Linked DNA regions of Coturnix japonica. The protein of the gene in region 1 interacts with the protein of each later gene in a pairwise test. Links are inferred from orthologs where the notes say so. Each region holds a gene or a part of one and is shown in the gene's direction. Other genes may lie near its edges.

Region 1 (3,749 bases):
TGGCTTTCTTAGAAGGTGTGCTAAAGGAATGACAGTATAGCTGGATATTCTCACAAGCTATTTTTTCTTTTTTTACTAGTTCTTTGTATTTAATGCAAGTTTTGCAGAGTTCTGTAGTTATTTGTGGATTTCAGGAATTGCGTGTGTTGGGGGAAGAAAAGCCCTTTGCTTCCTACTGTGTCTTTGGCCAGTATCCCTTAGCTTCATGTGGGATAAAGCTGAAGAAAAGTAGTTCAGCCCCTAGCACTTACTGCCAGGTTACACAGCTCTGGAAATGAAAATGGCTATTTATTTTGGAAAAACATTTCTGTACCATATCTCTTTTCATGGGCTGCAGGTAGGGGTCAGCTGCAAATGGAGAGTAATTAAGGCCCAGATGAGGGTTATTTGTGTTGCCCCATGCAGTAGTGATTTTTATACAGGGTTCTGTTTCAGTATACACAATGTCAGGAAGCAGCTGGTAAAAAGCTGTGTACCTTGTGTGCAGTATCGCTTGCTAGAATAGCACGATACTTCTTCAGTGGGTTTTGGCTTCTTCTCCCAGGCAATAAACAGGACCTGAGAAAATGGCCACAAGTTGTGCTAGAAGAGGTTTAGATTAAACATAAGGAAAAACTTTTTCTCTCAAAGAGTGGTCAGGCACTGGAATGGCTGCCCAGGGAGGTGGTGGAGTTGCTGTCCCTGGCAGTGTTCAAGAGGCATCTGGATGAGGAGCTACAAGATATGGTTTAGTAGCTTGTTGTAGCAATGGTGATGGGAGGATAGTTGGACTAGGTGATCTTGCAGGTCCTTTCCAACCTTGTGATTCAGTGATGCTTAAACCAAGCATTTAGCTTTGATGTTTCAAAACATGATCAAATTTCTTGGAAATATATTTAAAGTTATACTTTGAAGAGTTTAACTTCATGTAGTTCTACTTTTGTTTTTCTGATTAAAACTTTTGGCTTTTCAAAGGGTCCACGCTTTGGAGCAGCCAGATCAGTGAACATCTGAATACGCTCTAAGAGTTGTCACACAGGACTGGCTGACTTGAACTGGAGGAGGGAAGATGATGTCCTTGGATGGACTGCAGAAGAATATCAGTAACCCGGTAACTCTTATGTCAACAACTCCTCCCCCAGGAAATGGAACTTTGCTCTTTAATGTCAGAAATTAGCAGGGCATTCCTATGGCTCAGAGTGTTACTGAGAGCTCTTGATGTTGCTTGGGTGTGTGAGGAAAATCCTCATAGGTGGCTGTAGTATTTCTCTACTTGTACTCTGCAGCAGTGGCCTTGCACTGGCATGAGAAATGGGCTGGAGCTCTACTTCTCATTGTTCTTTAAAAACAGTTCTTTTGAGCCTTCAGGAGATGGTTATTTGTCATACTTCTAGCACAGAATATTAAAAAAAAAGCAACACCACTAGGTCTGTATAGAATCTCTGTGGAATAAACAGTGCTACGTAACTGTACAGGACTTCCTTTTCTCTTGTAGTTCTGCACTGATACAGTCCAGTGCCCTCAAGTGCATCTGACTGTTCAGTTCCACTGCTTGTTTGTTGCTTGTGAAATGGATAGACTAATAGATGATGGGGAAATGGCTTTAGGTTTCTTCACAAGAATCCATCTGGGGGAAGAAGGAAGGATGTGTGGAGATGGAAATAGAGCTGTAAGGACTGAATTGCAAAAGGGAGATGTGAAGAGGATCAGTAAATGTACAGGTGACATTGTCTGTGTAAGGAGAAGAGGAGGAGTTCAGCAAAACTGGTTGACTGTAAGTGGTCTGGTGAATATGGTGGGTGACAAAACCAAGCTGGAGAACATAAAGGAGTATTATTGGGGCTTAGGCATCAAGAGCCTGGGGGAGAATAAGAGCAATTATTTGGAGACAGAGGTGTGAAAAGTTGTTCCAGGCTCCAGACAAAGTCTGCAAATTGGTCTTTGAGGCCTTTCAAACTGAGTTAGTGTTGGCTAGTTGGCTTCATGGGGAACTTCTGGAGGTTTGTGAGAGAGTTGGGATGGAATCAAGTAGTGGCACAAGCATTATTCTTAATAGATGAGTTAAAATTAGCACAGCTCTTGAGACGTGAAGAAATGACAAGCACATTCTGTAATGATGGTCATTAGGTCTGTAGTATTACGCCCAGGAAATGCTCTATTATGGCCATGCAGATTCCATGACTGAGCTTCTGGACAAGAGATGGCTGACTTTTTTCTCTATTAAATGTATCCTTGCTACAGTGTTAAATAACAGTGTATACAGTGTATAACAGTGTACACAGTATACAGTGTATAACAGTGTATACAGTGTATAAATAACTTTGACCCACTGGAGTATTCAAATCCCAGTGTTCCTGGGCTGTGTCTGTGTGTTTCTTATTGGTTCATCTCTGGAGACCGAACCAGTAACTTATACCCTGCTGTGATTCTCAAAGCTACTGCCCCTCAGGAGCAAGCAGTGTGTTTAAACTGCATGATGTGCAGAAAATATGCAGAATGTATTCTTTCTTACGTATTATTATTTGGATGAAATTGAGTGTCTTTTGTACAGCTTGTAGACTATGGAACTAAGCTCCTACACTACTGCTAGTAAGTAAATTGATTCAATCAGTTTATTTGTTATTTCACTTATACTGCCTAATTTTATGTTCTCATCCTCCTCTACTGCAGTTGGCTAAGCCAGTAAAATCCACAAGTCTTTAAACAGTTTGGTCAGTTTCAAGCTTATACTTGTGAAGTAGGTCTGTATTATCTCTAATGTAAAAGGTGACTGCAAAGAAAGGTGCAATATGTGGGTAGCTGAGAAGGGAAGGAAAGGGAGAAGATGGAAATGAACAACGCTCTGGATTTAGGAGATTTTTTTTTTGTCATTCCCATTCTGTGTAATCAGTGATAGAACTAGAGGGAATGGTTTTAAGCTGCGCCAGGGGAGATTCAGGCTGGACATTAGGAAGTATTACTTCTCGGAAAGGGTAGTCAGGCATTGGAATGCACTGCCCAGGGAGGTGGTGGAGTCACCAACCATGGGAGTATTCAAGAAACGTTTGGATGTTGTGTTGAGGGATATGATTTAGCCAGGAAGTATTGGTAATGGCTGGACTGGATGATCTTCTAGGTCTTTTCCAACCCTGATAATTCTGTGATTCTGTGATACTCTCCACCAGAGTTGCTGCTTTTCCAATCACAGTTTTTCAAAAAAGAGCAAGCAAAGAGACAGCAGCTGTAGTCTAGTGTTAAAAAACTGGTGCAAGATGCCTCCTGCAACCAGCAGTAGTTAGTCCTTGACAATGACCTAATTTGAAGGGGAATTCTATATTAAAAGTGGAGCAGTAAAATATTGCCATTATTCTTTAGAGAGCTAGGCATGAAGACTGTAAATGTTTAGCTTTAATCTTATCTGAGAAGGCTGATCTTCAGTGATGAAAATCTTGGTTTTTCCTTCTCTTCGTGGCAGATATTTAATGCTTTACTAGTGTTTCATTTAAATGGAATACTAGTTGTCTTTCTTTTAATGTGCTAGAGCATCACTTAATTATCAAAAATATTGTTTAAAAAACTATATATTTATTTTGCCTCTGTCACAAATGGTTATTTCTGTCTTTTTTCCCTCCTTCTTCTAGGTCATTCCCTATGTCGGGACGATTCTTGGTGGCATTGTTCCTGGAGAGCTGATTGTGATACATGGGAATGTTCCTGATGATGCAGACAGGTAGTAACTACAGTATCACTTTGTGAATTAACATAAGGTGAACAAGCCTGTAATTAAGAAA
Region 2 (3,649 bases), on another chromosome or scaffold:
GCATTTTTCTCCTTTTACTCTCCTTCCTGTTTGAAAAAGGCTTTAAGTAGTTGATGCTGGAGTCTAAGCCTTCCATGTCTGAAATCTCATAGTATTTATGCATTCTGCTGTTATGAATCGGAGAGGATCCAGTGCAATGTATTTAGTAGTCCTTAATACCTGCCATTTAAGGGTTTGTAGGGAATTATGTCCAGTAAATCCATATCTCCTTCACTTATTAAAATGATCCATTCTTAACTTTCCTAATTGCACATGGTTGTCACTGTTACTTCAACTCACCCTTTACTATTTTATAGTCCTTTCTTTGTTCTGAGAAGGATGCAGATTCTTCTTGAAGTACGTGGCAGTTCTGTGTATACAATTCATATTAACAGATGAGAAACGTTCTTTAAAATACCTCTGTGTTTTCTTTGCTCAAGTGCTACATTTGACATTGGGTCAAAGTGAAATGAGGGTCTGAAGATGTGACTTTTTTGTTGTTGTTGTTTTAAATTTAAATAGTTCATTAAAAAACCCTCAACTTTTGCCTAAACGTCCGTGGAGTGATTATGTTTTAAACTTTGTGTTGTTTAGGAACTTGGCAAGGCAGCAGGAAATCAAGCAGGGAGGATGATGGAAGGACAGATTTCACAGCCGACGTTACATTTTCGCAACCCATACTCAGAGGAGAACGGCCCAGTTCCTGCAGTGCCAAGTAGACTACCAGTACTGCAGTATGGAAACCCTTATGCAATTCAGGAAAGAAGAGGTAAATGAGTGTGTGTGTGTGTGTGTGTATATATATATATATATATATATGCACATACATACATACACACACACATATATATGTGTATATATATATAATTTCCACGTATTTCTCTCTCACTGTTTCAAAAGCAATGCTGCATTCATTCAGAGACGCTTAAATGCAGCTTAAGAACAGTCTCAGTGCTGATGTACGGTGCTCTTATTTGTTGTCTTTGTTAATGAGAATCATTAAATGCCTTTGTTTTGTTGAAGAGAATCTATAAGTTAAGAAAAATTTTACAGACGTCTTTTGAAAAAGTAGATTTCTGTCTTTTCATACCTTATCTAAAGCCAAAAATATTTGAAATCCTTGATTTAGGGTGTAAATTGGCACATCTGTAAAACAAACTGAACAAGGATCAATTAATTAATTTTTCTTCAGATGGAGCAGATGGTGCCTTTAATCCTGATGAGATCCAAAGGCCACCTGCTAGAACTTCCTTTTGGGAGCTAGAAGATGACGTGGTGTGTAGTCAGCCTTCACGCAATCTCAGTCGGCCCGATGGTTTAGAAGATCCTGAGGACAGCAATGTGAGTTATCTTCTATATCATCTTTAATTTTCCATCTCTATTACCTATTATGTTCAACTTTCCTTGCTGTGATTACTACTGAACATTGGAGTTGCCCGTTGGTTTTCAGTATCAGATATGCCCGATCCTATTGTTTTGTAAATATGGGATTGATTTGGTTTTATTTGCTTCCTTGTTTGTAGGCAGGAAGTAAGTTGGATCAGAGCAAATAAAAACCTGAAGTATTCTGATAGCAGTAGCTTCCGTTAAATACCGAAATAAAGTGTCTGTAGTATCAGGTATTTAATCCCTACATATAAACCTCTAGTTCTGTCTTTTATTAGCCTGCATTTATTCCATTTCGATTTTTTTTTCGCTGTTAAGCATATATTTGGAAGAGCTGATTGATGACTAACGCTGATTAAACAGAAGGTGACAGATTGTCACCGATTTCTTTTTTTATGGCTTCGTATGTTTGAAGTGGAAACTGGTTTTCTTTGCTTTCTCAAACATTCAACTTTCACGCCATACCTCTGTAAAACATAGTTCTAGTAAATTGGCTTCTGTAATAAGCTGGACCAAATGGCTTCATTTGAACAGGAGCAGACTTATTACTCTTTCCAATTCTAAGTATTCTTGCACCTTCAAAAATATTCAACAAGAAATACTCTTCTGCAAAGTATTTTGCTCTTTGCAAGTACAGCGGTATCATGACCTGTTTCTCGTTTAGTCTAGTTTGCCACATTTAATTGCTATTAACCTTTGCAGAAGCTGATCAGTGTTCAGACAGGCATGATTTTAGCCCTGGTGCTCAGCACCTATAATGGAGAAAAATGTATTTTTCCCTCCTACCTTTTGCCCCTGGTGTCCATTACTGTGAATAATTAGAAAAACTGTCAGAACTCCTGCAGCCTATTTAAGAATGTGAGCTTAATACTGTTGTCCACCTTTTCTCCACATTTTGCATATTTAATCTGATCATTCTTGACGTAGATACTACATATGACAAGCTCTTCTCTTCTTTAGTCATCTGCTTCAGTTTAATTAGCAGGGTGTTCTTTCTGATCTATGTGCTTTGCCCCCTTGCAAACCCAACTGAAACAGTGCTGTAGTCTTGTGCTCATTTGCTGACACAGCTTGGATTTTTGTAACGAGATGGAATACAGCAGGCTTAAATAAAGTTCAATAAATCAAGTAATTTACATCTTTATTTTTGACTTTCCAATGAGAATCAATTACTTGCTGCCACACCCCACACCCCCCAAATCAGGCTGTAGGTGTAGAGTGTACAATTCGACATGGAAATAAGTATTTGTCCATTATATATCCATTTTGCTTACGCTCTGCAGTTGAACAAATGATAATCACTTGGAGGAGGTTTGTACAGGAGAGATACGTGAAGGAAACAAAGTACTTTTCTGAAGCTCACACTTCAGTATGAAATGTAGATTTGATTACAGTTGGCAGTAAGCCCAGAATAGCTGTCCCAGGACTTCAAGAAAGCTGTTACTAACAGCAAATGTGTAGGGTGAGGGGATTACGTTTGGCAGCCAGGTCAAGCTCTTCGTTGAGATGAATTCACAATGGCCTTTCTTTTAGCCCAGAAACCCCACTACACTTTCATCAGCCTGATCATAGCTGCCATTTACTGTCTTTATCTGCTAATAGACTTGAAAAGAGTAGTTGGTATCTGTGCAGATGTCCACATACCTCCTGGGAGACGAGGCTGCTTGCAGAGATGTAGGGGGTTTGATGAACAGTGCTCATGCAGAGCTGAGTCACGAGAAGAAAACTGTGTACCCTTCTTTGGTGGACAGAGCAGAAGAACCAATGGTGTGGCCGTTCTTTGATTACTTAAAGCTTGAGATGGACATTGCTTTGCTTCCTGTCCCTGTGCTAATGTTCCCTGGAGCTTAGAAACAGAAACTCTTCCTGTCTGTGGGTTTTGTACTGCACCACATGGCTGGTTGCTGGCTTCTGCTGGGCAGTCTCAGCTCTGGTTATATGGGCTTTTGGTGGTAGTCATTAAAGCAGTAGGTGTTACATGAGACAAAAATGAGTCGGTAAAACTAGGTGAGTTGTGCTTGTGTTTGGCTGTTAATGCCTGCTTGCCCTTCTTCCTCTTTCAGTGGCAAACAGACTCCCTTGTTACCAAACTTTATTGTGTGTAATTGTGTGGGTAAGTGTTGCGTGTTAATGCTCTATTTATCTTCATGATTCATACAGCCTGTTGAACTCACTGGCAGTTTTAAGAGTAAAAGTTACGATCCAGTGATAATAGTGAAGTTATGTTGTTAAAGGCAGCTCTTCACAATTCATTAACCTTGGTATCCAAATTTCTGCATTTGGA
Region 3 (3,749 bases), on another chromosome or scaffold:
CCTAACACTGTTTCACTACCGAAATACGAGGCCATAGGACTCTGCTGGGTCGGCGTGGACGCGGGCTGGCCTTTGCCGACGTGGCTCCGGCCGGGCGCTGCCCTGAAGCCATGGGAAGCATCCGAAGGGCCGCGCTCGCCCTCGCCACGCAGCCGGCGCGCCCCGCCGCCGGGCACCCCTTTTCTTTGAAGAACAGCCTTAATCATCCCACTTTGAGTTCTGCGTATACCTCATCCACACCGGGAGGGGCAGGGGGAGTCGGGAGGGGGGGAGGGGAAGGGCTGGATTGTTTCTTTTTCCTTTGTATCTCGGTTTTTTTGGGTTCATTTTGTCGTTTCGGGGTTTTTTGGGTTTTTTTTTTTTGGTTTTTCATTTATTTCACTCTCTACCAAAACCCTCTTCCCCCTTTGCTTTGTGCGATGAGTTAGCACATGGGCTGTCGTCTGTAGAAGCAATAGAGTGCAGGAGGCCACAAAAGAGCACAATCCATGGAACAAGACCAGGAGAGCTTCGCCTCCGCCGATATCCTTCCTCTTACTGTGCAATCCAAGTCCTTCTGAAGCCATTCCGCGTGGGCACGCTCGGACCGGCGGGGCTCCCCATGGCACCGGGAGACGCGCCCGGCCCTCGCCCGCCCCGGTGCCGCGCCGGCGCCCGTCCCATGTTCTATGCAACGAAATAACACGACTCCAGAACGAGACCTGTTCATAGCTGATAATCCGACGTCGCGTGCAAGGGTGTCATTGCAAACCGGGTAACTCCTCTCTCTCGACCACCTGTGCGTATGAAGTTCCAATTCGTGGCATGTTCGACCCACGGAGGGGCCACTTTGCCAAAGGGCAGCCATAGCGCCCGTGACCGTCTGTCCTGTCGTAGAGCATGGCTTGCTACTTCTCTGCACGGTCTCACCGCGTTTCAGTGCTTGCCGTTCTTTGCCTGGACTCTCTTCTTTTTTCCTCCCACTTTTTTCTTTTTTCTTTTTTTTCCTTTTCTTTCTTTTTTCTTTTTCTTTCTCTTTTCTTTCCTCCTCTCTCTCTCCTCCATCGGTTCATCGCCGTTACCGGCCGCGATGCGTGCACCGGGGGTTGCGTGGTGCGCTGCTCCCCACGTCCCCCGCCGCCCCCAGCGCTGTAAATAGGTGCCGGGGCGCGGCTGCACGCGGGGCCCCGCTGAGCCCCAGGAGAAGTTTACAGTGGTAAGTGCAATGCCGGCGCTCCTCCCTCTGACCATTGTGACGGTGTGCGTGTCTGCTGTGCTCCGTGAGACCCGTAGTAAATCCCCCCTAAACCCCCCCGTGCCGCGCTGTGTCGTGACTCCGTACAGAAGCTGCCCCCCCCACCCAGGTATTTCTGTGGGAACAAAATAAAAGGACTTGATATAAACCACACACAGCCTCAGACTCGTCCCTTCGTGCTCCGGGGATGGGCAAATGGAGCGCTCCCAGCCCGGCCCGCTCCGTGCCCCGGTACCGCCCGCAGGTACCGCCCGCAGGTAGCGCTGCGGTTCCGGCGGTGTCCACAAGGGGGCGCCATAGCGAGACCGAGGCCGGAAGGCCGCAGGTAATGGGAGGCGGCCCCGCCCAGTGCCCCGGATGTGCCGGAGCTCGGCGCTGTGTCCGCCCGCTGCGTGCGATGGAGCCGCATGCGATGGAGCGTGCAGTGGTGAGGGGCTGCGGGGGGACGGGCTGGGGGCTGGGGGGCGGTGACGTCACTGCCCAGGGACCCCGCCCCCCGTAACCTTCCCCCCGACCTGAGCTTCCCCCCCACCCTGAAGCTTTGGGACCCCTATCCCCCTCCCATGGGCTCGGTGCAATACAACCCCCCACCCCCCCATGGGCTTGTGCCCATTCACAGCCCCCCCCGTGCCCTGGTGCCCCCCATAGCCCCCCCACGCCTCCATAATTCCCCCCATGTCCCCTTATTCCTCGCTCAGACCCCCCCTAAGCTGTCCCCATAGGAGCCCCCCTTGCTGCCCTTTGCACTCCCCCCCCCCCAGCTGCCCGTGCTCCTTTAGGTGCTGCCCAGCGCCGATGAGGCCGCAGCGCTGTACCAGGAGCTGAGCCAGAACCCGGCGATCAGCGCTGCCTGCCTGGGCCCCGACATCACCACGCAGTACGGGGGCAAGTACTGCAGCCTGTACACCGGTACGGGGCGGGCCATGGGCGGGGGGGGGGCGGAGGGGTGTTGTTTGTCCTCACCATCATCCCCCGCAGAATGGTCACAGCGGGACCTGGTGCAGGCCAAGAGCATCAAGTTCTGCCGGCAGTATTTGCTCTTCCACGACGGGGCCTCCATCGTCTATGCAGGACCTGGCGGTGCCTGCTGTGAGATCAATAATGTGTGGGTCCCCATGTCCCCCACCTCCCCACGGCCCCATATCCCTGGCAGGATGGGGCTGAGGGACACCTTCCTGCAGGCTGCTGAGCTGCGAGTCCCCCAGCGGCGCGTTGAAGGCTGTGCTGCTCAAGGTTCCGGGCAAGGAGAAAGAGAAAGAGAAGGAGAAGCAGTTCCTGGAGGTGGGTGAGGGGCTGGGGGGTTACAGAAAGGAAGGGGCTGGCAACCTGAGCTCCTCCTGCTCCTCTGCTCCCAGGTGTGGTATCAGAACCGCAAGGTGAAAAGCATTGACCTGACCGCACTGGACAAGCATGGTGGTGTCTATGATGATGGTGAGGGACGGGGTGGTCCTGGGGGATGGTGGGGACGGGGTGGCTTGTGCCTGACCTCTCCCCACAGACCAGTTCGGCTGCCTGGCCTGGTCACACTCAGAGACCCACCTGCTGTATGTGGCGGAGAAGAAGCGTCCCAAAGCCGAGTCCTTCTTCCAGACCAAAGCACCCGAGCTGGATGGCTCTGCTGATCAGGAGCTGGAGCGCCCCAAGAAGCCAGATGCCCCCATCAAGGTGGGGCCCCACCACCCCCAGGGTGATGTCCCTCCACCCCAGAGCTGGCACTGATGGGGCTGTGCCACAGGGCGAGCAGTTCGTGTACTATGAGAACTGGGGGGAGACACTGAACACCCGCAGCGTCCCCGTGCTCTGCGTGCTGGACATCGAGGGCAGCAGCATCTCAGTGCTGGAGGGTGTCCCCAAACACGTGTCCCCTGGACAGGTCAGGATGGGGAGAGGGGACACGGGAGGTGGTGGGCAATGGGAGACTCCATTACTGAGCCACACGGTCCGCTGCTCACAGGCCTTCTGGTCCCCAGATGACACTGGTGTGGTGTTCGTGGGCTGGTGGCACGAACCCTTCCGCCTGGGGCTGCGGCACTGCACCAACCGCCGGTGAGTCCCCCTGGTCCCTGCCGCCCTGAGGACCCCAGCCCCATGCTCACAGCCCCTTTCTCCCGGCAGCTCAGCGCTCTTCTTCATGGACCTGACCGGTGGGAAATGCGGTGAGCAGCTCACCCTCAGACCTGCAGTGCTGAGCACCATGCAGCCCCTCACCATCCCCTCGTGCCCTTGCAGAGCTGCTCTCTGAGGACACTGGGGCCTTGTGGTCCCCACGGCTCAGCCCCGACCGCTGCTACATCGCCTACCTGGAGAACAGGGTGCTGGGCCCCCACCAGCAGTGCAGCCTCCTCCGCATGGTGAGCGGCTCTGATCCCCCACCCACCTGGGGGGGCTGGTGCTGTACCCCTACTTTAGTGGGAGGTCTGAGACTCAGTGCACCTGGCACAGCCTCCCACCCCATGTCTCCCACAGTACAATTGGCAAACCAAGCAGGCCCACACTGTGCTGGAGGCTGTGCCAC

The links.
Region 2: the proteins of LGALS8 (region 1) and TAX1BP1 interact in binary tests that used the Homo sapiens proteins (3 or more experiments, as listed by UniProt). The link is inferred for Coturnix japonica from reciprocal best matches to the Homo sapiens genes LGALS8 and TAX1BP1.
Region 3: the proteins of LGALS8 (region 1) and acylamino-acid-releasing enzyme-like interact in binary tests that used the Homo sapiens proteins (3 or more experiments, as listed by UniProt). The two-hybrid records come from large-scale screens. The link is inferred for Coturnix japonica from reciprocal best matches to the Homo sapiens genes LGALS8 and APEH.

Annotation. Positions count from the first base shown.
Region 1 is NC_029518.1:33,917,659-33,921,407, reverse strand, and holds the start of LGALS8 (galectin-8), read left to right. Parts: upstream 1-1,545; 5' UTR 1,546-1,549; coding exon 1,550-1,753; intron 1,754-3,599; coding exon 3,600-3,688; intron 3,689-3,749.
Region 2 is NC_029517.1:30,196,853-30,200,501, forward strand, and holds part of TAX1BP1 (tax1-binding protein 1), read left to right. Parts: intron 1-573; coding exon 574-748; intron 749-1,171; coding exon 1,172-1,320; intron 1,321-3,649.
Region 3 is NC_029527.1:1,405,430-1,409,178, reverse strand, and holds the start of acylamino-acid-releasing enzyme-like, read left to right. Parts: upstream 1-1,544; 5' UTR 1,545-1,562; coding exon 1,563-1,661; intron 1,662-2,013; coding exon 2,014-2,143; intron 2,144-2,212; coding exon 2,213-2,339; intron 2,340-2,415; coding exon 2,416-2,515; intron 2,516-2,589; coding exon 2,590-2,665; intron 2,666-2,732; coding exon 2,733-2,899; intron 2,900-2,969; coding exon 2,970-3,107; intron 3,108-3,188; coding exon 3,189-3,280; intron 3,281-3,349; coding exon 3,350-3,390; intron 3,391-3,463; coding exon 3,464-3,585; intron 3,586-3,700; coding exon 3,701-3,749. UniProt on the Homo sapiens protein: This enzyme catalyzes the hydrolysis of the N-terminal peptide bond of an N-acetylated peptide to generate an N-acetylated amino acid and a peptide with a free N-terminus. It preferentially cleaves off Ac-Ala, Ac-Met and Ac-Ser.